Schizosaccharomyces pombe: one gene and its partner. The gene in region 1 interacts genetically with each later gene. Each region holds a gene or a part of one and is shown in the gene's direction. Other genes may lie near its edges. The genes, in order: cnp3 and cnp20.

Evidence for each region.
Region 2: mutations in cnp3 (region 1) and cnp20 are lethal when combined (synthetic lethality), as found in Schizosaccharomyces pombe (one study listed by BioGRID).

What each region holds. Positions count from the first base shown.
Region 1 is NC_003423.3:4,122,980-4,134,796, reverse strand, and holds cnp3 (centromere protein), read left to right. Parts: upstream 1-6,130; 5' UTR 6,131-6,228; coding exon 6,229-6,305; exon of another isoform or gene 6,306-6,385; coding exon 6,386-6,693; intron 6,694-6,800; coding exon 6,801-8,228; intron 8,229-8,308; coding exon 8,309-8,427; 3' UTR 8,428-8,479; downstream 8,480-11,817. Other genes in the region: naa35 (NatC N-acetyltransferase complex subunit Mak10), read right to left, coding at 1-1,078; ARS-binding protein Abp2, read right to left, coding at 1,512-3,095; mrpl44 (mitochondrial 54S ribosomal protein mL53), read right to left, coding at 8,539-8,651, 8,725-8,914; F-box protein Pof12, read left to right, coding at 9,216-9,362, 9,449-10,624; rpl1901 (60S ribosomal protein L19), read left to right, coding at 11,077-11,658.
Region 2 is NC_003423.3:270,736-281,747, forward strand, and holds cnp20 (centromere receptor protein cnp20), read left to right. Parts: upstream 1-8,747; 5' UTR 8,748-8,928; coding exon 8,929-10,368; 3' UTR 10,369-10,512; downstream 10,513-11,012. Other genes in the region: ede1 (EPS15 repeat-containing family actin cortical patch component protein), read right to left, coding at 252-3,602; SPOM_SPBC800.11 (inosine-uridine-preferring nucleoside hydrolase), read left to right, coding at 5,172-6,341; SPOM_SPBC800.12C (ubiquitin family protein), read right to left, coding at 7,512-7,753, 7,795-7,858, 7,916-8,023; csc3 (WD repeat-containing protein), read left to right, coding at 10,894-11,012.

The sequences.
Region 1 (11,817 bases):
CGTAAGGCTCTGGAGTACGATTCAATCTCGTAAAATCTAAACAAAACTGATATACTGCCAAGGAAGAAGCGAGAGTGTGGCTATTCAAAATCAAAAGCATATCATCAGCAAAATACAAAATTCGTTGATAAGAATGCTCAATGCCAGTAGGAGGAATATTCCTCACAGGAGCTGTAGCAACTAATTGGGCTTGGACGCGAAAATCCCAATATTGCTTTAATATGCTCTCCTTGATAGATGAATCAACTACCGAAACCGTGTTCTGAATCTCGGGTACCAAATTTTTGATCAGATGGAGAGCATCGATGGTGGTCTTAATATCACTCCTTTCATACACTCGTAAAATACCAATTCGAAGTTGTATTCTATTGAGAATTCCCTCGATAATTTGTCGTAACTCGGCAGAAAATTTTATAACCTCGGAAGCCAAATATTCGATGCTAGATTGCAAAAGATAATTGAGTTTTTCTATGGGGTAATTTTGAAGAAAGGACATGTGATATGAAAACGAACTAATGTCTTCCTCGTCATATAAATTTCCCATCAGAAATTCTCGATGAACAATATCGCAACATTTAATAACAGCCAAAACAAAAGGGAAAAGAACGATGTCAGTTGTATTCCTTCCGCTACCACTGGAGAAGCCACTGTCACCCACTTGTGAAATAGGCGACTTGCAAATGGAGAACACATGGGCACTACAGAGTAAGCTCTCTGATAAGGGGGATCCATAATGCCACTCTTTTTCCGCAGAGACAATTAAATCCATTAACGCTAATATTTCCAAGTAAGAGAGATCACGTGAAAAATCTACACGAAGTGGCTGATAATCAATCCCACTATCCATTTTCGGTTCCATAATTTCAAAGGCACTGATTGAATCCAATAATGTAAATTTTGGATCACATACTAGCTGTTCCTCTTTCAGAGATTTCGTGGCTTCAAAGTAAGACTTTGTACAGTCGACATATCCAGCGTTATCAACATAACCTTCGTTCCCTTTGGCCGGTTCCACATTTCCAATCTTCACATTTCCTTGCATAGAATTAAGCAATGATAGGGACTCTTTAACAGACATAAAATCGACAAAACACCCCTATATTGACCAATTTTCTATTGAACGTCTAGTTTATGGGTTAATGAAAAGTGTTACTCTGTAAGTCACAACAAAAATTCCACGCATAAAAATGCTTGTTCAATAACATTTTCGAGAGTAAATAAGATGGTAATTTTTTCAATAATAATAAAAACAATGATAAATCCAATTTGAAATTATTTTACTTGTATCTGCAAAGGTAAAAAACTATCTCGATGGTAACCCATCTCACCTAGCAGTAGAATATCTAAAAACTTTTTATAAAATAAAGAGAAGGAAAACAAAATAAATACTTTAAACAATTATGCTTTTTTGAACATGAGAATTTTGTAACTTTGAAATTGCACCAGTTCGTGGAACGTGCAGTCGCAAAGTGTACTGCATAAATAGATACATGCATGGAAGAATCGTGATTTCAGTCAAACACTGCATTCATAATCTTTCTCTTTAAATTTTCGAGTTCTAAATTTTTTTCTTTTAGGGCCGCATTCAGTTTGGCAATTTCTAATTTTAATGAGGAAACAGTGTCTAAAGGCTCCATTGAATTTGAATGAGATATAGGGACATCGGGAATCATCTGAGCTTCTGCTAATGAGTGCATACTCGGCGCTTTTTCCAAATTGAATGCATGACATATAGTAGCTGTTAATGGTCCTTGATGAACGGTCCAAATTAAGCGATCGGTACTGGCTTCAAGGATTTCGGAATGAGAAGAGACCAGGGCTAAAAGAGTACTTGAGATGAACTTAAAATTGGGAGTTTTGGGGATCGGCGAAGTTTCGGAGGGAGGAAGATATTGGGATATCGTTTCAGTATAGTGTGATAAAAGTTGAGAAACCGTTTCCATGGGCAGACGAGCAACATGTGAAAATGCAGAGCGAAGCATTGTATTTTGAGCATGCATCAACTTTTCAAATCTTTCATACCAAGAGATACTTAGCGTTAATGACACAGATGGTTCAGATCTCAGCCGTTTAATTTTGTTACGAGCTCCTGGCGGACGCCCGCGTTTACGAGGGACTCCTGCTTCATTTTCAACATTTTCCGTTTCTACTTGATTGGTTTGTCGAGACCAAGAATCATTCAACCCGTCACTTTCTTTGGGTGAAGAAACGTCTCGTAAATCATCAGGCCATTGATGCCAGTCAGGATCAATGGAATCAGCAACGCCAACTGCTTCAGCAGTTTGAAAAGCGTGATCATGGTTATGTGAATTGTTGGCTGCGGAAGGTAACTGATGGTCTTCGTCAGGTGGTTCAAACATATTTGGAGGATGTGGGAGAGAATGGTTTTGAGGAGTTGTCTGATGTGCTTGTTGAGAACCTCGTTCAGACATGTGATGGGACGCTCTCATTAAAAGGGATTGAGGGGTAGGGCATTCTTGGGAATCTGCATGAGGGTTTGTGACAAAGCTACCAAGATTGTGAGTGTTGTCGTCTAAACTAGCACTAGCTGAATGAATCCAGTTAGAAGGGGAGGTTGACGTGCGCATTGTGGAGATGGAGGAAGAGTTAACATCTGGATGAGACATTAAGCCTGCACGTAAAGATTTAATAACCAAATCATCAGTTACATTTACATTGCATCGAACTTGAGGTTGGGTTTCAGGAATTTCGAGATAATAAGGATTTGGTTTATTCAGGAGATAATCGAAAAAAGCATCAACATGTGTTTGACTCATCCACCGTTTTAAACGAACAACATACTGTTGTATTTTTTGAGTAGATTGTTCATCTTTTCGTTCCACACCAAGAAAACCCACCAGCTTGGACCAAGAGTTAATTATTTTTTGGTGGTATTGCCGGACAAGGAGAAATAAGACCCAAATCTCAAATTTTTGACCCTCTGATTTAGGAATCATATTGAATGCATTTGCTAATTGCCTCGTGTCAGCACCTGCATACCAGGGATTGCAGCAAAGACAGAATTGGCAGAACTTTTCAGTAATATTATCCGCGCTAACATCATGTCTAGATGGCAACAAGGAATAAAAGTTCATCCTTGATTAATTGCTTTAAAAAACAATAAAAAATGTAAAAAGACAGATAGATAAACGTTGGATTATTAAGTAAACACGACAGAAAGACACAAGCAATGTCGAATAAAGAGATTAACAGTATATAAATATCAGAAAAGATCCAGGGATTTTAATAGAATGTATCAGTTCTTGGAACAGGAAGGAGTTGCTGTCTATAAATTAAACTCCAATCTGTAAATGAACCGATGTTTTTTTTTCCGTACACTAAAAAAAGGGAATGGAGGTAAATAAAGCAAAAAAAACGAAATAAGAGAATGAATGTAACCAAAAAAAAGAAAATATAAGTACAGATGTTAAATTTTGTTTGTTTCTTCTCTAGAAATTAGAGAAGTATTGACATGAAGTAGCTCGTCTACACTATACGAAAAGATGCACAGATTATGAAAACAATTGATCCCCTCCTATGATGAAAAAAGGATGCGGAAGGTATTACAGAAGTTTTTCTTCTTTAAGAAAGAAAATAAGAATGGTGTCCCTAAGCTATATGGCACGTATAGCAAGGGTGTCGAGAAATTTTCGGAAAAAATTGTAAACCCTCCAACAATCGGTTGTATTCACAATTGAAATTAAGAATTGGAAGAGTTTCTCTCACGAAAACCTATTACCTTGGCGTTTAGCTTTTCGAGAAAAAGAAAATTGCACGGTCATACAATTTCGCGATTTTTCAAAAGAAGGATGGCAAAGAAAGATATTTCCAAAGAGGCGAAACCTCTTAAATCTAATTTACAAACGATAAATAAAAAGCGCGAAAAACTTGCACACGAGCAAAAGTCCAATTTATATATTGGAATGGAAGATAGAGTAGAAAATGGGAAACGCGAATAAAGTACTCTTTTTCCTTCATATATTGTGATACCTTGGGCCATCCGACTCAGATAACAAGATGATACCTTTAACCCGTTGTTACCGTAGCACTCGCTGAATCAAGGTACTTAACGACTGTCGGTAAACGGAGTCGTGCGCCGTTTACCGATGAGGGATACGTAATCGCACATTAGGACACCTTCAATCTCCCTATATCTTTTGGATAGATCGAGAAATTGCTAGAGGAAAGATGGAACGGGATTGCATTAAAAAATAGAGGCAATAAATTAAAAATGTTTCAATCAAGAGTTCAAAGATTATTACAGATTTACTACTCATTTCTGTAAAGCAATGGTTATTGCGCTGTCTCGACTGCTGTTATTTACCTGACACACTAGGGGCACACACTAGGGGCACACATTGGCGGCAACCCGAATGGAATACAAAAAATGCAAATTTTGATTTCAATCGACCAATGCTATAAATGAAAAAGACAAATAAAATCGAATCATATAAAAAAACAGAATAAATAATGAGACAGACAGTGGAAATGATCCAGCGGCATCGAGAATTTAAAAAATCGGCTCTTCTCTAATAGTATCTTTTTGCATTTGCAACGGAGCGCATATTACAAATCTAAGGTTGAATACTAATTATTACGAATAATAAGCTATAAAACTATTTTTTTTGGAAATAAACAGCTATTTAGATTAGAGTACATGAGTACTACTGTTAGTAAACAAAACGACATTCACTCTCTATATTTATGGCAAATTTTTAACAGCTAATTTTAACAATTTCTTGAGTTGCCACTCAAAGTATAAAGAGATATGCCTTCTTCGATTTACTTGTTGAAACTACCAATTTAAATAATAGCTGCTAACGGCTTCTAGTGATATTCCTTAAACGGCAATCGCCATTTTAAGGAAGAAAGGCCAATTGGTCGCACTAATAAGGACCTGATTTGAAGCCGCTGTAAAATAGGGTTTTCCCTTTTTTGCTGAGTTCGCGTGAAGGTTGTAGGCGAAATAAAGTGACAATATACATTCAAAATACAGACTTCATTATGGGAACTTTCATTTTCTTTATAGTGGTAGCAGGATAACCTAGCCTTTGTGTATAAGGTGATATCCTTTTACAGAGGTTAGCTATGGATTCTTGTAATACAGCCAAAAGTACGTACATAAATTTTGAGTAAAAAATTCGGGTATGGTTGAAGGAGGCGTAAACGGAAGCATTTTCTTGGCGTTAATTGAACATGTTTCGCACTTTAGTCTTCTTACTATGTCATGAAAAGAGCTATTTTAATTATTGTACGGGGTGGCTTGCTAAATATTGATCTGCTAGATATAAAATTAATAAATAAATAATAAAATAATAAAAAATTTTGTAAAAAGAGAAGCGAAAAACCAAACCGACTTAACTTTTTGTAAATAAATATATTTAATTTTATTTACTTTTGAATTTTTTTTTCAGCCCTATTCAAGATCAATTGACCCCTTTTTTGGCAAAATTTCACCATTGCTGAGATTTCGGCATCAGAAAATTTTCACATACTATGGTGAAAAAAAGAAAACAGTCAAGGCGTAGCATCGCAAATTTGGATTCATACAAGAAAAAAAATCTCGTCAGCAATACGCTTAATAACACCGACTGTAATAAATAATGGTGGTTTAGCACTAATATAATCGTAAGTTAATAAACAATCATCAATTGGATGGCCAAGCCAGAAGAAATCCCAAAAATAAAAAAATTATAAAAAATGATAAATCTATTTTTAATCTCTTAAATTGTTATTGCGGTAGGCCGTTTTTTTGAATGTCAATTGCTCAATCCGTCTTTTCCACTATTTGGGTTCATCCCTTGGTAGCGGCTACTTAATATGCTTCTAGGTAGGGTTCATTTCTTCTCTGGAATTCCCTTTCTGACCTTCATTCTAAGGAGGCATGTTTGTTTCTGTTTACCGTAATCTACGCTGTCAGCACTAGTAAGTTTCATTTCCAACGCAATTTCGTATTTGTTTGCCTAACATTATATAACTATAAAATGCATTCAGAAAAACAGAAAAGCGCTTAGGCAATTAAGTTTATATGTATTGGTTAGTTATACTGGAAGCAAAAATGAATACACCTTGCCTTTTCGCATGGGTCTGATTGATAGGCTTATTCCATGACACATAATGTACATCCTGTACTACACGTAAACAAGAAAGACAACACTTACGTCCCCATATATTGTTTTGTTTGGCTATTTAGGCTATATTTTTACTTAATGTTTATTTAATAGAATAATGACGATGAATGAAACGTCTGCTATTCCGGCAAGACAACGAGAGAATCAGTTTTTTGAAATTGGTGTCGTAGGCAGGTACGTTCGCGAATTGGGTTCCATATATCGTAATAATTATTCTTTTTTTAATAAATTTACTAAAAAATATTTTTATCTAGAAAAACAGGATTCACAGTTCCCAGAGACGTTAAAAAAGGCGATGATGGATTCGAGGATATGGATGCTTATTTTCTTTCCGACGGTTCCATCCATTTGGACGAAGATAATGGAGACATTGAGCAGGATATGCCGCCAGTAACAAGACTTCAACCTACGTCTCCAATGGCAGTCAATGCTGCTTCTGATGAAGCTTCTCATGCCTCATCTTCTGACTCTAGTGATAAAAACCCGGATATTCCTTCTTCACCATTGTTGATGAATTCGAGAGCTCTTCGGGCTAGCCGTGGTTCGTCTGGTCCTTTAATTGGTAAGGTTCTATCTACGCATCACAGATTTTTATTTTACAACTCCTCAAATACTCTACTGTTACTTTCCGTTTCATTTCATTGATAAAATTACTAATTATACATACAGTACCTATAGATCACTCAGCTTTTCAAGCGGAAGATGAAGGAACCGCTGATAAGACGAAAGTCGATGGCAACAAATTATCAATTCAGCCAAGAAAAGCAAATCGAATTGTCGATTTTTCTAGGATAAAAGCATCTCCAGATAGAAAAAAATTCGAACCTCGAAGAAGTACCGAACTTCCTTCCAAAATACCATCCTCTACGCCCAAGGATGATAACGTTCAAGAATCGCCTGCATTCCCCGATGAAAATATTACTGCTTTACAAAAAAATGTAGCGAATTTTACTAGTATCAAGGATAGTGGTGGTCGCGATAATCTTTATATACAAACCATTTCAAAACCCCGTAGAAGTTATGTTCAAAATAATAAGTCAGAACAGACGATTAAGCCTTCTAAACAGAATAAGCAAAAAGAGGAAAAGAAAACAATATCCCAGGGCAACAAACCAAATTCTAGAGATGAAGATTCCGAACTTTCTATCGATGTCCCGCTTTCTATGCTTAATCGAAGCCTAGCAAACAATTCTCAAAAGAATAAGAAAAGAACACCTAATAAACCTTTACAAGAATCAAGCATAAATTCTGTTAAAGAAGGGGAGTCAAATCCAGTAGTCAAGAGAAAACGTGGTCGACCTCGTAAGAACAAATTAGAAATCGGCAATTCTGTTCAAACTAGTGAGGCTACACAAGTTAAAGGCGCAAAGAAACCTGCAATTAGAAACGCGAAGAAGATGTCCAACGAGAAGGATGACTCATTGAATTCACAATCAGATTCAGCTTCTGGAGAATTTATTAAAACAATTGCTCGAAATAATTTACAGGAAATTAAACAGGTCGAACGTGAAGATACACTAGTTGGTGTCCGAAGGTCGAAACGTACACGAATAGCACCACTAGCATTTTGGAAGAATGAGCGTGTTGTATATGAATTACATAGAGATGAAAATCGAATTCCAGCACTACCGGAAGTAAAGCAGATAATCCGAGTTGACGATCCATCACCTTCAATTCGTCAAGGTCGCAAGAAAAGGCATGCAAAGCGCTCAGGAGTTGAAATAAAAAGTAACTTGGAAGCAAAATCGAATGATGTTGAAGAATATGATGCTTTTTACAAAGACGAAATAAACTGTGAAGTTCTATCTTGGAATGAACAAAACCCAAAAGCCTCTGAAGAACGAGTAGTCGGCTATTCATTGCCTTCTGTAAATCTCCAGCAAATCTCTAATCAACAACTAAAATTTGCCAGCTTGTTCAAGGAGGAGCCATCTTTTGCTGCTGGCGTCGTTGAAATGCCAGCAGGAGCAGAAAAACCAGTGAAGCCTTCGAAACACAACATAATGTCTTTTTGTATACTACAGGGAAAGATCGAGGTCACAGTAAATGCAACCACTTTTCGAATGAAAAAAGATGGAGTATTTATTGTTCCAAGGGGTAAGTTTAAATATACACATTTCTAAAAATTCAAACAGGAATTATACACCGAGAATGTGTTTTGACTAACATTGCTTTAGGGAATTATTACAGCATAAAAAATATCGGCAAAGAAGCTGTTCGACTTTATTATACCCATGCGACCGACACCTTGGAAAATAAAAGAAGGGGAATAGGGGATTTTCCAAACGAACGATGACAATACTAATAGTGTGTTATGGATTTCGATGTACAAAAGTCATTTAGTCGTTATGTAATTTAATTATCTGTTATCAATTTAATCATATTAATAAAGTCATTTTTTCTAAACTTATTTTTGCATCATTTCCTTAAATTTAAGCGTTTTACTGTAATCGTCAATTAATTCAGTTAGCCTACCAATATTCATTTTTGTCGGATCAACAGTCAACTTTTTTCCATCCTCTAAATAATAATTATTAGCAAAAGTCAAATCTAACGGTCGCAGTTAAACCATCTAGCTACTTAAAAGCCTTACTGTATACAACTTCAACAGATGGTTTTGAATTGGTATCCTTTGATGCAAGACTGGTAATGAGATTAAGTCCATAAAGAGAGTTGCTGGTTTCTTTACTGGCAACTGCTAGCAAAAGTTTCGCAGATTGACTAGCTTTGGAAAACGGGTTCACATTCAAAATTGACAATTTATTAATGTACCCAAATATCATGATTAAAAATTTTAACTGGAGAGTAAAGTCGTCAAGGAATGTAATTAAAAGAGATCTTTATGTGTAGATATTTTAAATACATTAAATGGTGGTAAGTTTTGTAAACGAAATGACATTTGGTAAGCTAGGTGACCGTTACCCTGATAGTCTCACTTCCTACAACAACTAAGTCAACTTGGAGATACAAACGAAACTAGTATGTCTCTATAATACAATTTGTCATTCCAATTTTATATAGAACCTCGGTTTCCGCTTGTGAAATATTTTTTCATGAACAATTGCAATTTTGATTTTATCCAACATGACTACCGATGTGAAGGCTAAAAACCCTGCGTCGATTTTCAGCCATGAAACCCTCCTTCACGTTCTTAATGATTTGTCTGCACATGACTTAGCTGCTTTAGAACGTGTATCTCGTAGTTGGAATTCAATTGTGCGCCGTTCATCGGTATGTTCTTCTTGACTTTTTAGTGATATAGTCGAATTTTCATGTTTTGAGAGACTGATTTCCATGTACTAACGACCTTCATACAGGTATGGCATAATTTATATCTCTCAGAATTTGGGACTAAGCATTTACGACGACATGGTCGCATTGAAAAAAAACGAAGGAATTGGAAAGGATTGTTTCGAAGGCAATCTAACTGGAAGGACGGACGTTGTAAAAAAGTAGAGTCTATGCTCCCTCAATTGCTTAATTCTGAAAAAAGCGTTGGAGAAGATCGTTTGGGGCTAACGCTTACACACCAAAATAATATTTATTTTTGTAATGACGTTCAAATATCAAAATGGAGCTCAGTTGGTAACAGTTTGAAATGCCAGGCTATTTCTTCTTTTAGAGATGAAACTGTCAAATCTGGTCCGGCTGTAATGTGTCTGGATAACGCCAGCCTTTATATTGGTTTAAAGGATGGTAACCTGCTACATGTAACGGTGCATGAGACAGGTTTCGGAAATATTGAAAACCTTGCAACATTCTCTACCAAATTTGTGGCATTATCATCGCATAAAAATTACATTTGTGGATTGACAAACGACAACAATTTATATATACTTCAGCATTCTCATCAAGCTGGAACCAAATTGAAAGTACTTGGTAAATATCATGTTTCAAGTATTGAAAAACAGGTTGCTATTCACTTTCAGCAATCAAAAGAAGGATATGAAGTTGTTCATGTAGTTTTTAATGATTATGTTCTATCTGGTGGATGGACCGTTAGTTTGCAAGAATTTGTTTTCAACGAATATTGCGTCAAAAGTAGTAGGCTTGCATTGCATGACAACAAAGACATTGAGTACTCTCAGCAACCTGCTTCTGCTATTTTTATGTATGGGTCCTATATTTTGACATCTCATCCGGACAATTCTTTAATTTTGCAGAGGCTTTATTCAACTAACAACGAATTACGGATAAAATTTTTAGGTCGTCTCTTAGGACACGTTTGTGGTGTTCAGATATCTAAACTATTTTCTTGTGGAAGAATTGTTTCTGTATCCAAAAACTGTGCCGATATTTGTGTTTGGGATCTTCATGATACAAATTATCAATCAATCGTATCTCCGCTAATGCTAACTTGCACAAACATCCACAATAAGCCCGTATCTGATTACGAAAAAGAATGTAAGGTTCAAGATATAGGACTGTATGAAGATACTATTTTGATAACCCTTTCCGACGGCAGAATATTAAAGTTTCTCTTTAATATTTAGAGAAAGGTTTCACTTTATCGTACATGATTGAATTCTAAATGATGAGTTTAACCATAGTTTTATAATTTTATTTATATTATTATTATTACTTAGATTGGATTATTAAGTGCCTTTTCAAGGTTAATGAGCCTCAATATACTGTATTACGAGTATCTGCTATACCTTTCAGTTTGCATCCTCTAAAATAATGAAACACAATGTGCATATTCGGTAACTGATTCAACGAATGTAAGGGATAATTTTAATAATCATATTTACTTCAGTCAAAGCATTTGGTAATGTTAATAAATTTTCTAAATACTTTTTTTATTCTTTATTCGTTGTCATTGTTCCTCATAGCAGAGTACTGAATTATCACCCAACCCTACCCTAAACGTGACTGCCCCAAAAACAAAAGAATTGACCACGCCTGTTTAAGAAAGATTGTCCGTCCACCAAAAACAGCAAGAAAAATGGCCAATCTTAGAACGCAGAAGCGACTTGCTGCATCCGTCCTTAAATGCGGCAAACGCAAAGTTTGGATGGATCCTAATGAAATCAGCGAAATCAGCAATGCCAACAGCCGTCAAAACGTCCGTAAGTTGATTAAGGACGGTTTGGTTATTCGCAAGCCTAACTTGATGCATTCTCGCTTCCGCATTCGTAAGACCCATGCCGCCAAGCGTCTTGGTCGTCACACCGGTTACGGTAAGCGTAAGGGTACTGCCGAAGCTCGTATGCCCTCTGCTGTTGTTTGGATGCGCCGTCAACGTGTTTTGCGTCGTCTTCTTCGCAAGTATCGTGAGTCTGGCAAGATTGATAAGCATCTTTATCACACTCTTTATTTGGAAGCTAAGGGTAACACCTTTAAACACAAGCGTGCTTTAATTGAGCATATTCAACGTGCCAAGGCTGAGGCCAACCGTACTAAGTTGATCCAAGAGCAACAAGATGCTCGTCGTGCTCGTGCCAAGGCTGCTCGTCAACGCAGAGCCAAGGCTGTTGAAGAAAAGCGTGAGCAACTTTACACTGCTGCCGAAAAGATTGAGGAGTAAATGAATATATTTTCCCCTTTTGAACTGGAATAGCATGATGATGATTATTTTTGTTTTTTTTTCAAGCGGTAATTTGTGCCTGATTGTAGTGGATTTGCAATTGTAGCTTTTTTTGTAAGCAATTATGTTTAACGTAACATAGCAATTATTCGTATTTCT
Region 2 (11,012 bases), 3.8 Mb from region 1:
CGAATTTTTTTCTATACCCTATCTCTTAAACGATAGGTATGTTTCTCATCTCTGTAGCCCTTAACAGATATCGTTCAATTGTCCTACATAGATTAAACCAGTTAAACTTGATTTCCAACCATTATACGTTAACACTTTTTTATAAAATTTGTCAAGTCAAATCACAACTGACACCTTCATGTGGAAAAATACCAAAATGATCTCAGCAATAAAAGGATTAAGAAAAACGAGTGTTAAGCTTTATCGGCTACTTAATGATGCCCAGCATGTTCTTCTTCATCAGTAGAGCTATTGTCATCATCCTTTATTTCGGCTGCTTGAAGATTTGCGAATTGATTATCAAATTCATCATCGACGTTAAAAGCATCATTAGCCAGAGATCCTGAGACAACTTGTTGTACCGGTAACTCGTCGTCGTCGTTATCCGATTCGTTCGCTGTATCAAAATCAAAGGGTTGACTAACTTCGTTAGAATTGACAGTAACCTCAGTATTACTATTTGCTTCAAAAGCACCTGATGTAGTATCAAAGTACTGATTCTCAGTACTTGAGGGTATAGTCTCCGAATTAGGATGCTGTACATGAGTAGTCGTAGACATTTCTAATTGATGATTAGGATCAGGAAGCTCCGTAACTGCAGAGGTGTAATTCGTGACTGATCCAATTGAAATTTGAGGAGAAAGATTAGACATTGGGGGCTCCTCATCACTAGAACTTTCATCATCATCAATCTCATTAAACTGAATTGGTGGAAACTCATCTTGAATATGAGGTGTCGCTTGTTGTACAACTCCATCTTGCGCAGACCTATCGCGTCGAGAAGGAGGAACAGGAGGTTTCACAGGAGCAGGTGTACTAATTGTTTCAGTAGCAAACGGTGCACTAATAGGTTCAGTGGCTTGTTGTTTATTAGCAATTTCAAATGGTGTAGGTGCACTAGTGTTTTCAATAGGTTCCGCACTTGTATTCTCGACTGGCTCAGCTGTGTTTCTGGCAGATCCTGTTAACTTTGACAAGTCAGATAATACCGGGGATCCACGTTGTGAAGCAGAGGTTGATACATCCACAACACTGCTATCCTGATGTTGTGGCTCCTCCATATTTGACAACTGCACAGGTTCAGAGTCCAAGCTAGGATTAACACTTGAGTTATTAACGCTAAGAGATGTAGTCTTTGAAATGCTTCTAGGAAACACAGCCGAAGCAAATTCACTTTCCCAGAAATTTGAAACCGGTGAACTAGCTCCTGAGATTTTCAAGTTATGGAATGGATTTCGGGAAACAGTGGAAGCATGTGCTGATGAATTATTAGAGTTCAGGGATGGAGAACGGAGAGTATTATGCATTGCATCAAAAGAATTATGTTGAGTGGGCACCGAGGAAGTAGTATCAGGAAGGGTTGGCTTATCAGTGGTAATTCCATTGCTGGTAAAAGATGGGAAACGAGGTGTCGAATCCACTTCGGGTTTCGGAGCTTCTTCAGTCAGGTTAACGGATTTCAATCCATCTTCTAATTTGCTGAGTTCTTGCTTTTCAGCTTCCAATTGTTTAGAGTGTTCGTGATATTCTTCGGTTGCGGTAGCTAGTTGCGTTTTAGAGTTATTAATTTTGTACTCTAGGTCAAGTTTTCTTTGCGAAACAGCCTTACTCTCTTCGTCCAAACTAACCAGACGTTGAGTCATTTCATCCAATTGTAAATGCAACTGGGCGAGCGTCTGCTCTTTATCAGCAACCTCGGACTTAAGTTGTTGAATTGAAGCATTAGATGACTCTACCATATTCTTGGCCGCTTCAGATTCTGCAACGACTTGCTCTAAAACTTCACCCTTTTGTTTATTCTGTTTTTGCAATGCATTAAGCGTGGCTTCCAAAATTGAGTACTCCCGATTAACTTGCTCAGTTTGAGCTTTATTAGTTTCAATGTCCAAACTGATCTGCTTGGCTTTTGCTAGTTCCTCATCATAGGCCTTTCGTATTTCACTGACCTTGGCTTTGACATCGCTTAAGTTTGCGGCAACATCGCGAGATGACTTTTGTAAATCATCATTAGATTTCTTTACTTGGGATAATTGCGATTCTAACTTGGGTACCTCTGCAGCTAATTTTAGTTGTTCGGCAGACGCAACCTGAGGAATAGGGGCAGCAAGTTGTGAGGGAACAGAAGTTCGAACTGCTGAAGGTTTGTCCATGGTGTTTTTGGCAATCGTCTGCCCAAAACTGGATTGAGGAAAGAATGTTGATGTAGGGGAATTAGGTTTAGCAGCTGGAGAAGTGGGAAACCCTGGAGTATGGTTAAGTTGGAGAGGTGAAACAACAGGGAACGGTGCACTTTTAGTTACTGGGGGGGCTGAATGCTTTGTAGCATTCGAAGATGTATGTTGAGGAGCAAGGGTAGGAGAGAAAGGAGTAGCATCCAAGCTTAGTAAATCCTCAGTTCCTGAAGTTACTCGGGATGGGCCCGTAGGATTAGGAGCCAACGTAGGGTTGGGATTAGGAGACGAAATATTAGCAGGAACAACGGAAGGGATAGAAGTTGGCACGCTTTTGCTCTTTTGCATTAATGGAGCAACCGAAGAGAGCATAGAAGAAGGGAGCACTTTGGGTAGCTCTTTTCCGGATAATTTGAGCTTAATTAAATAAAGAGATATACAAAACTCACCAATGTTTAATTTACCGTTACTATTAGTGTCACTAAGGTCCCAAATTTGTGCTAAGACATCTTCAGGAAGTTTAGAAGCAAGGAAAAACGAATATGCCTCGCTACCAGAAACGTATCCTTTGTGCGCTTTATCAACGTTGGAAAACAACTGACAGAAGCTAGTCAAGTCTTGAGATGGAATGGCCCATGGATCTGAAACAGGGATGTTTGGAGCTTGCACAGGTGGACTTCGGCTGAGGCCGGGATACTGAGAGGGTGCAGAAACTGATGAGGTTGAAGCTGCGGAAGCGATAAATGATGGTGAAATAGAAACAGGAGGAGACTTTAAGGAACCGTTTAATAAAAGGTTGATTATATGCATACCGGTATTAAACTCGCGAATATCCAGAGCCCCGCGTTTATGAGTATCAACTAAATTCCAGACTCGCGCAAGAATTTCAGTACTAAGAGGTGCACGACCAAAGATTGAGCTAGCTCTGTCACCATCCATCAGACCGTCAGTTGGGCAGACTGTAGTAAACATTTGTTGATACCGTGTCATTTCATCTGAAGAAATAGGAGGTAAGAAAGAACCATCAGATCCATCACCAGAAGAAACGTTATTTGGTCGATTCAGCTGAACAAACTTTGAAGAATCAACGCCAGAGATATGGATATCGGCAAAATATGGAATTTTCCCCGATTTTTTGTAATCAAAAGGTAGCTTTTCTTGTGCGAGAGCCACCAACCTCATGGCAATTACAAAGCCAGAAAATGTAAGAAATCCTCGATTCTCAGCATCTGCGATTTGCCAAATTTGACCAAGGACTTGAGGAGCTAAGCCCGATTTTTCCAAAAACGGTACAGCTTCTTCTCCGGTGATAACGCCAATGTCTTGTTTATCTGCAATTTTAAACAGTTGGTCAAAAGCGGTTTGCTCTTCCGCAGACAAATTCAAAGACATCTCTACTATGCTCAATTTACGTTGTGGTTCAAGTATACTAAATCACTTGTTGAGCAAACTCAGAAATCACCTCCAAAAAAGAGAATTCGATTTACAATACGATCAAAATGTCAAAAAAGACACACTTGTTTGAATCAGGTGTAATTGAGAGGCTGCGATTATATGAGAGCATCCAAGGTAACCGAGATAAAGCAATCGACCCTGCTACCTTAAGCAGGAGTAGTAATTAAGGTAGTTAGCTATATGATACTCTATCACTAAACGCTTTTGCGTGGAAAACAGAGCGTTTAAATATGCTCATAATGATTTGCAATATCGCATTAGCTTTATATAACGATGGTTAACGGCATTGCGTTAATTGATCTATTCATTTCCGACAATTTTTTTGAACTAGTTTCGTGTAAGTAGGTCGTACATAAACGATATCTGAAATGTCTGTTCCTTTTGAAATAATTTACTGTTTTTATGTTTTGATTTTCACAACAGAATGATGCGTATGACAAAACAACACCTGGTTGCATAGTCAAGTTGAAGTGTAAATAAAGCTCAACTTTTTTAGAACTTATTCGGTATTATCAATTTTCGTTTCTTTTATTCGCTCTATAGTGTATTGCTTCGTCTTAAGATTGAACCTTTCCAATTACCGAGTTCATCACCTCTACATTTATTGTAAAAAAGTAATTGTACTGCAATCTCTGACAAGCCATCATGACATACTGACCTTTCAATTACATCCAAAATTCCCTTTAGCTTGTCTTTGTTTGCTTCTTAATGGATGATTTGATCTACAAAAGAAAACGAATCATTATTGGTAAATTAAATAAACATCAGCAGCATTCACGGAGCAATTAAGATACACACTGCCAACGTCAATTACAATAGATTAATGTCAATTGCCTTTCTTTAGAGTCTTTTTTTGTTTGCCAGTTATGAACAGTAGCTCACGGATTAGAAAGTTCAAAAATCAATTATTACGCTTTCTCTTGATGTATCTTAATTCTTCTGAGAGATTGCTTTTAGTCCAGTAAAGACATTTACATCACTGTAGTAAAACAAGTCAAATCACTTAAAAAACTAGTATCTGTCCTCTTCTTCGATATTTTTACCTGGTCGACGGCTGCTTAGTGCTAGACCGTGTTAAAACCGATTGTCTCATTTTCGATTAAACATAGTCTGGTATTATAGATCAGTTGATTAAAACATTTGTTAGCTTTCAAAGTAGATCGTTGAATTGAAGGATTTTACTCAACACCAAAAATCATACACCAAATTTTTTTATCCTCCTTTAGACAATGCTATTACCACAAAAGAACGGGATGAATGGGATCATTTGCTTCTAGACACTAAATTTAAGTAGCCGATAAAAGACGGCTTAACATCCGAGCTTTCGGATGTTCATTTTCACACGATGATTTTGGGTTATCTATTTATACCCAATTTGTATATCTGACATGTGCTTGTTTATCGGTTGGAAATATCTGTCTTTACAGATAATGTGTAGATCATGGTTACTATATATGACTTAGGAGGCTGGTCAATTTAATAGAACCTAGGAAGGAATAATAAAACATGCACTTTGCCAAACTTGGAGCAATTGGTCTTCTTGGAAGTATCATTTGTGCTTATGCCGCTAGTGCTGCTTCAAAGGTCATAATCGACAATGATGGGCTGACGGATTTACAAGTTTTATTTGCTTTACAAGCGAAACAACAAATCCTTGGTGTAACAGCAATTTACGGAGATTACACCTTGGATGATAGTCTTTTTTTGGCTTCGGATGTTTTGTCTACTGGTAATTTGACATATTGCATACCATCTTTCGCAGGTGCTGCCCAGCCATTGTTGCGCACTAATAATACTTTTCAAATTTGGCAGGAGCTGTACGGTAGTTACGTTTGGCAAGGATATTGGCAGCCTGAATATGAAACTGCAAATACAAACAATGAATCTTATATATACAATACTCAAATCTCGGCAGCTCAATTCATTATCGACATGGTTAAAGCGAACCCCAATGAGATTACCATTGTAGCGGCAGGGCCGATGACCAACTTGGCAATTGCTCTTTCAATTTGGCCTGATTTGGCTAAAAACACCAAGTCTTTGGTTATCATGGGCGGCTATGTTGATAGTCAAATCGCACAAGTTACTGGGGGTGACTTTTTGAATGATATGTATAGTGACTTTAATTTATTCATGGAACCTGAAGCTGCTCAAACTGCCATCACCGCAGATTGGCCAGAGCTTATTATAGCCGGAAACATTACCAGTCAAGTGTACCCATCGCAAAGCCTCTACAATGGTATCATTGCGCGCGCAGGTGGAATGGCAAATATTGAAAGCGATTCTGGTCTAAGTTATGCAAAGCAATTTGTGGGCAATGGAACATTGCCTAGTGGATCATTTCCTTTCTGGGATGAAGTTGCTTCTGCAATTGCTGCATGGCCGGAAATCGTAAACAGCTCTTACGATGCTTATGTTTCAGTAGATACTGCTTATGATAGTCCATTTTATGGCAGCTTACGAATGGTGCCAGCCGATTTGGTACCCAAAAAGGGTGTTCGCACAGCAAAAGCTAGCATGATAACTGGAATTAACGTTGCAATGTTTTATCAAAAGATTTATGATTCTTTGACAGCTGAATATTCATCTTATTGTATGAATGGAACAATAATAACTCCTTCCAATATCACCATCAGCAACACAACAAATACAACAAACACCACGGGCTTCTATTAAACTTTAATTATCAATTAATAATGAAAGATCGTGGTTAAATACCAGAGGTTATATCTATTTATATTTATTCCTTTAAACCTCAGACCGATAATCGCTCGTTTGTAATTGGTATATTTTTTAAATTGAACAATACACAAAAGAATTTCGATAATTCATTTTAGCGTGAAACCAAAATACTAGTTTACGTATTCTGTCATTTAATAGATGAATGTTCGTACATCGATATTTAATAAGATTTATTAAAAATTAAATAGTTTAATAATGCAAACTATTATTTTACAAACGTAGATCCTTGTTCATTCATTACATATGAATGGTTTTATCCGCTCTCGAAAAGTAGAATCCAATTAGAAATATAAAATGAAGAGAATAAATCCTTTGAAAAGGACGGGCTAATTTTCAAATGCCTCAAATTATTGAGCGACTAATCGTTCTAAAAAAAGTTATGCTTGCCAGTATAAACTTTTGATATTCATTTTTTTATTTTTTATTTTTTTTGGTGATTAAAGTCATAAAAAAAGAGAAATGGACATGATCAGTCACCTTTTTTAAAAAAACAAAAATACGACCCCCTCAACTTTTAAGGCTAAATTTTACATATGAATGCAGTCTACATCCCAAAAAAAATAATAGCTAAACTTTTAACATTGTACTTTTGGGATAATTTTCAACCATTGACAAAATCAATATACAATTCTATATAACATGTTGAAGGAAATAAATTTAGCTTAAAATTATAATTATTATGCTTTTTTTATGAGGTATAGGGCGCAATTATGAAAGAAATACGGGCGCTTAAATACGAATTTTAAAGAAAAATGTTAACAATAAATAAATACAATTTGACTTTTCTATAGTACGGAATTCAAGAAAAAAAAAATGTCTGTTACATTATTTACTGACTATGCTCTTTCGATTTTTGTTTTAAATTAGATTTTACTTGCCGGCGTCTTGCATAAAAAGGGAAACATAAAAATCCCAGATATGCAAAACTGAGAAAGTATAGAGCGAATTACACAAAGAAAAGCTGTAATAGTTATAACTATAACTTTCATAATAAGTATGTAATGACACACTTCATTTTTTATAAGTGTCTGACGTCGAATACTTTCCTAATCAAAAAATAGGAGAAAAACTAATATAGGTAAATACCAACATGAAACAAGTCATTTAAGAAATATTCATTAGAAACATTTGAAGATTAACTTCAGAGACACTGTCGGCATCCACATAGTCATCTAGAAGTCTGGAGTTGACAAGAGGTTTGCCTTTGTACATCAAACGGATAGAGGAAGGTTGCGTAGATAACTGAGATGCTAAAACTTCTTTAAGCTCCAAAATTGTAGACTGTACATTTATTTCAGTAGATGCTTGTTGAATGGGAGGTCGGACAGTTTTCGCAACAACATGAACTAGATTTTTAGTTAAAAGTAGTTATTTAAGCAGAATTTACCTTTCTTTTCCTCGAACAAAGCTAAATTTCCTTGAAACTCGACCAGTGGAGCAGGAATAGTGATCTATAAAACTATTAGTTTCAATAGCATATTTGTGAAACAAGAATCATTATTACGCACCGAAATAGCAGTTTCATCTATTTTTTCAATTGGAATACTATCAGGGTGATTCCTAGGGGTCTTTGAAAGCTCTTCTAGAAACGATTTAACAATTTGTACCTCGCTCATGGTGATGGTGGAATGTCAAGTTTACTCAAGCTAATTATCAAGTGTCCTAAAACCACTAAAGAGAAAATCTCGAAACAAATATCATACAAAATGCCATTAGTTCCAACTTTGACAAACAACACATCAAATCTGACGTTCAGTTTTTGATAATTATGTTACAATGCTGCTAACCGACAAATTTAAGAGTCCAAATCCTTGATGTAATAGCGCTCAAGTTCAACATAAAGTATTCTATAACTTCGTCTATTTCATGCCTTAAGCTTTACAACCTCGCGAACGTAGTTTACTCAGAATTGTCAAAAAGAATAATAATTATGATTTTAAAAATTTACTGTTAAATAAATTATTAAAGTCATAAGAAATCTTTGCATTGTTAATAAAGTTGCTGTTGCAAATACTATCCATACAAGTTTCTGAAAGTTAAGAGTTTAGTAGTTTTTAAATATTGTTTCCCTAAATGTTTTGCTTATCATTATAGCAAACAATAAAGCTAAATAGTTTAATTGTTCATTTCATGCTTTCATCTTATTTCATAGGCACATAAAGTATCTTTGCGTTTTACTTCGATTTTTTAAAAGAGGTTGTATTCCTTCATGTTTTTAGATAAGATTGCTATGGAGCAGTTTTAGAAAAGATGCGTATATAAAGACAGACAGATTAGAACTTAAGCAAGTAAAGTGTGAAGTAGTTGTATACTAATTAGAAAGATGATATAACCAACCTTACTAGAGCCATAATCTTTAATCAGCCCTGAAATCGTCTTGTTCGAATCATTTGTTTTTTAAAAGGATTGATTATTATTGTTTATTTCTCCTTAATATTTATCAAAAACTCCAAATCGCTGTATAGGTAGCATGGTATACATATATTCACTCAACCTACATTTCTAATCAATCACGCTTACAATGGCTTCTCACAATTATGAGACGCCACTCAAGAGCTCTTCCTTTCAACATTTAGTTGGTACACTTTCTCAGCGACGGCATTTTACCCCCTCTAGAAGCAGGTATACTCCACGTTCTGCTCAACGGACTGTTACTCCTCATAAACGGAGAGCTCTTGCACGCAGGAATAGTCTAGCAAGGAGAAGGAGCAATGTGTTTTCCGCAACAACTCCTAGAGACATTCTCAGAATGCTCAGTCGTGCGCTGGCAAAAAATCCAGTACCATCACCAGCTGAATCAGAATCCTCCGAGCGACGACATACTCCACAAACTAATAGTCAAAAGTCTCAAAAGACACCAAGATTGTCTTCGAATAAGCGTCGGACTTTAAAAAATGATGCTAAACAAAGGAATTCCCAATCTCCAGGTACCGACACTAGCGATGCAAATCTGACGATACAATCCATCGAAGCTCCAAGGCGTGCTCCACAGCGCCTTAGCGACTTTTTTACACCAGATGGAAGGCGTGTCAGTAATATTCGTGATTCTCTAATCTCAGAAAAACGATTAGAAAATAATATTGACCAAGTTCAAGAAAGCGCGTTAAGTACCGCTTCTAGTAATCGACTCATAGATTTAAAAAATGACGAAGTTCCTATTTTTCGCATTCCTTTAAGTGATTATGAAACAGATGACATGGATGACGGTACACCTCTCCAACGCCATGTTGCGACCCTGAACCAATATCAAAGTCCCATTTTTAATTTAGGCCCGGACATTTTAGAAGATGAACCATCTTACTCTTCAAGAGCTTCCAGATCCCGTCAATCATCTCTCTCTTCTCGATTATCTGAGTTACCTTCTAAACGCGCCAGCCTTGAGATTTTAAGGCGCGAAAATACTTTCCCAGCCGATCCAATTCAGGAATTTGGTGAAAAAGCATACAATGAAAGAGAATTGATGGAAGAAATCTCAAATTTTGAACCCTTACTAGATGATAACTTGCTTGAAAATGCCAACGAAGCTGTCAATTCCCCAGTAGTAGACGCACCAATGGATGCTGATTCTGCTTTAGAAATACCCAATGATGAAGATAATGGGGAAATTCTAAATAAACTAAAAGATTCTCCGTTTAAAAAACCTAAAAGAAGATATTCCAAATCTTCAACACTTGTGCTACCGGAAACAAATATTAGGAAGTTGGCTAATTCCTATTCACAGAAAAAAATTGCTGGATCAGTGATTGAAGAACTAACTACAGCTTCTGAACTCTTTTTCAAACAGATCGCGAATGACCTTTCGGCTTTTGCAGACCATGCTCATCGGAAAACAATTGACACGCAGGACGTGGTTTTACTTATGAAAAGACAAAGGAAAATAAGTGAGAAAAAATCCCTATCCTCTCTAATGCAGCAATATTTATCGCGTGAAATTGCACCTCCGGCAATTAAGAGAACCTAATGCGTACTTCTCCTTTACATTCATCCCTGTATATTAGAATTTTTTTCATCGTTTTACCTCTTTGGATGTTAAGATTTTTTATTAATAGTTAATTTAATGATTATTTATATTTATTGCTATTTTTATATTATTAATTAATTGTAAGGCACGTCTAGAAAATTTGTTTTCTTAGGAAATAGAATTATTTTCAAAATTTGCAACCTATGCAAGAACGCTTGATTCGATACACTTACAAGTTTGTTTAACAGCTTTTGATTATTTGTAATTTAGCCAACATTTATTTTCGTCCATTAGTTAAAATTACATGATCAAGTAAATAAATTTCATTATCTGCTAACTGCAAGAAACATTTATTTTTATAATTTTTTTTAGTATTTGAAAGATGAGTTTGCAGGGAACATCCGTAGTAGTGCTAATTACTCTCAGGTGTGTTATGTTGAATCTCTCATAAGCCATCAACGACTTTCATTCACGAGTGTCCTAAAGGTTTTTATATACCCGGGATTTTGTCGAAATAAAGCATTTATGAAATCCAACCTATCATTAAAACGGCAAGATGAAAAACGTGCCGACAAAGAGCCCAATTTGTACACATTGCAAGGTGTAATTCAATATTTACAGTACGAGGCTTTCAAGAATGAAAG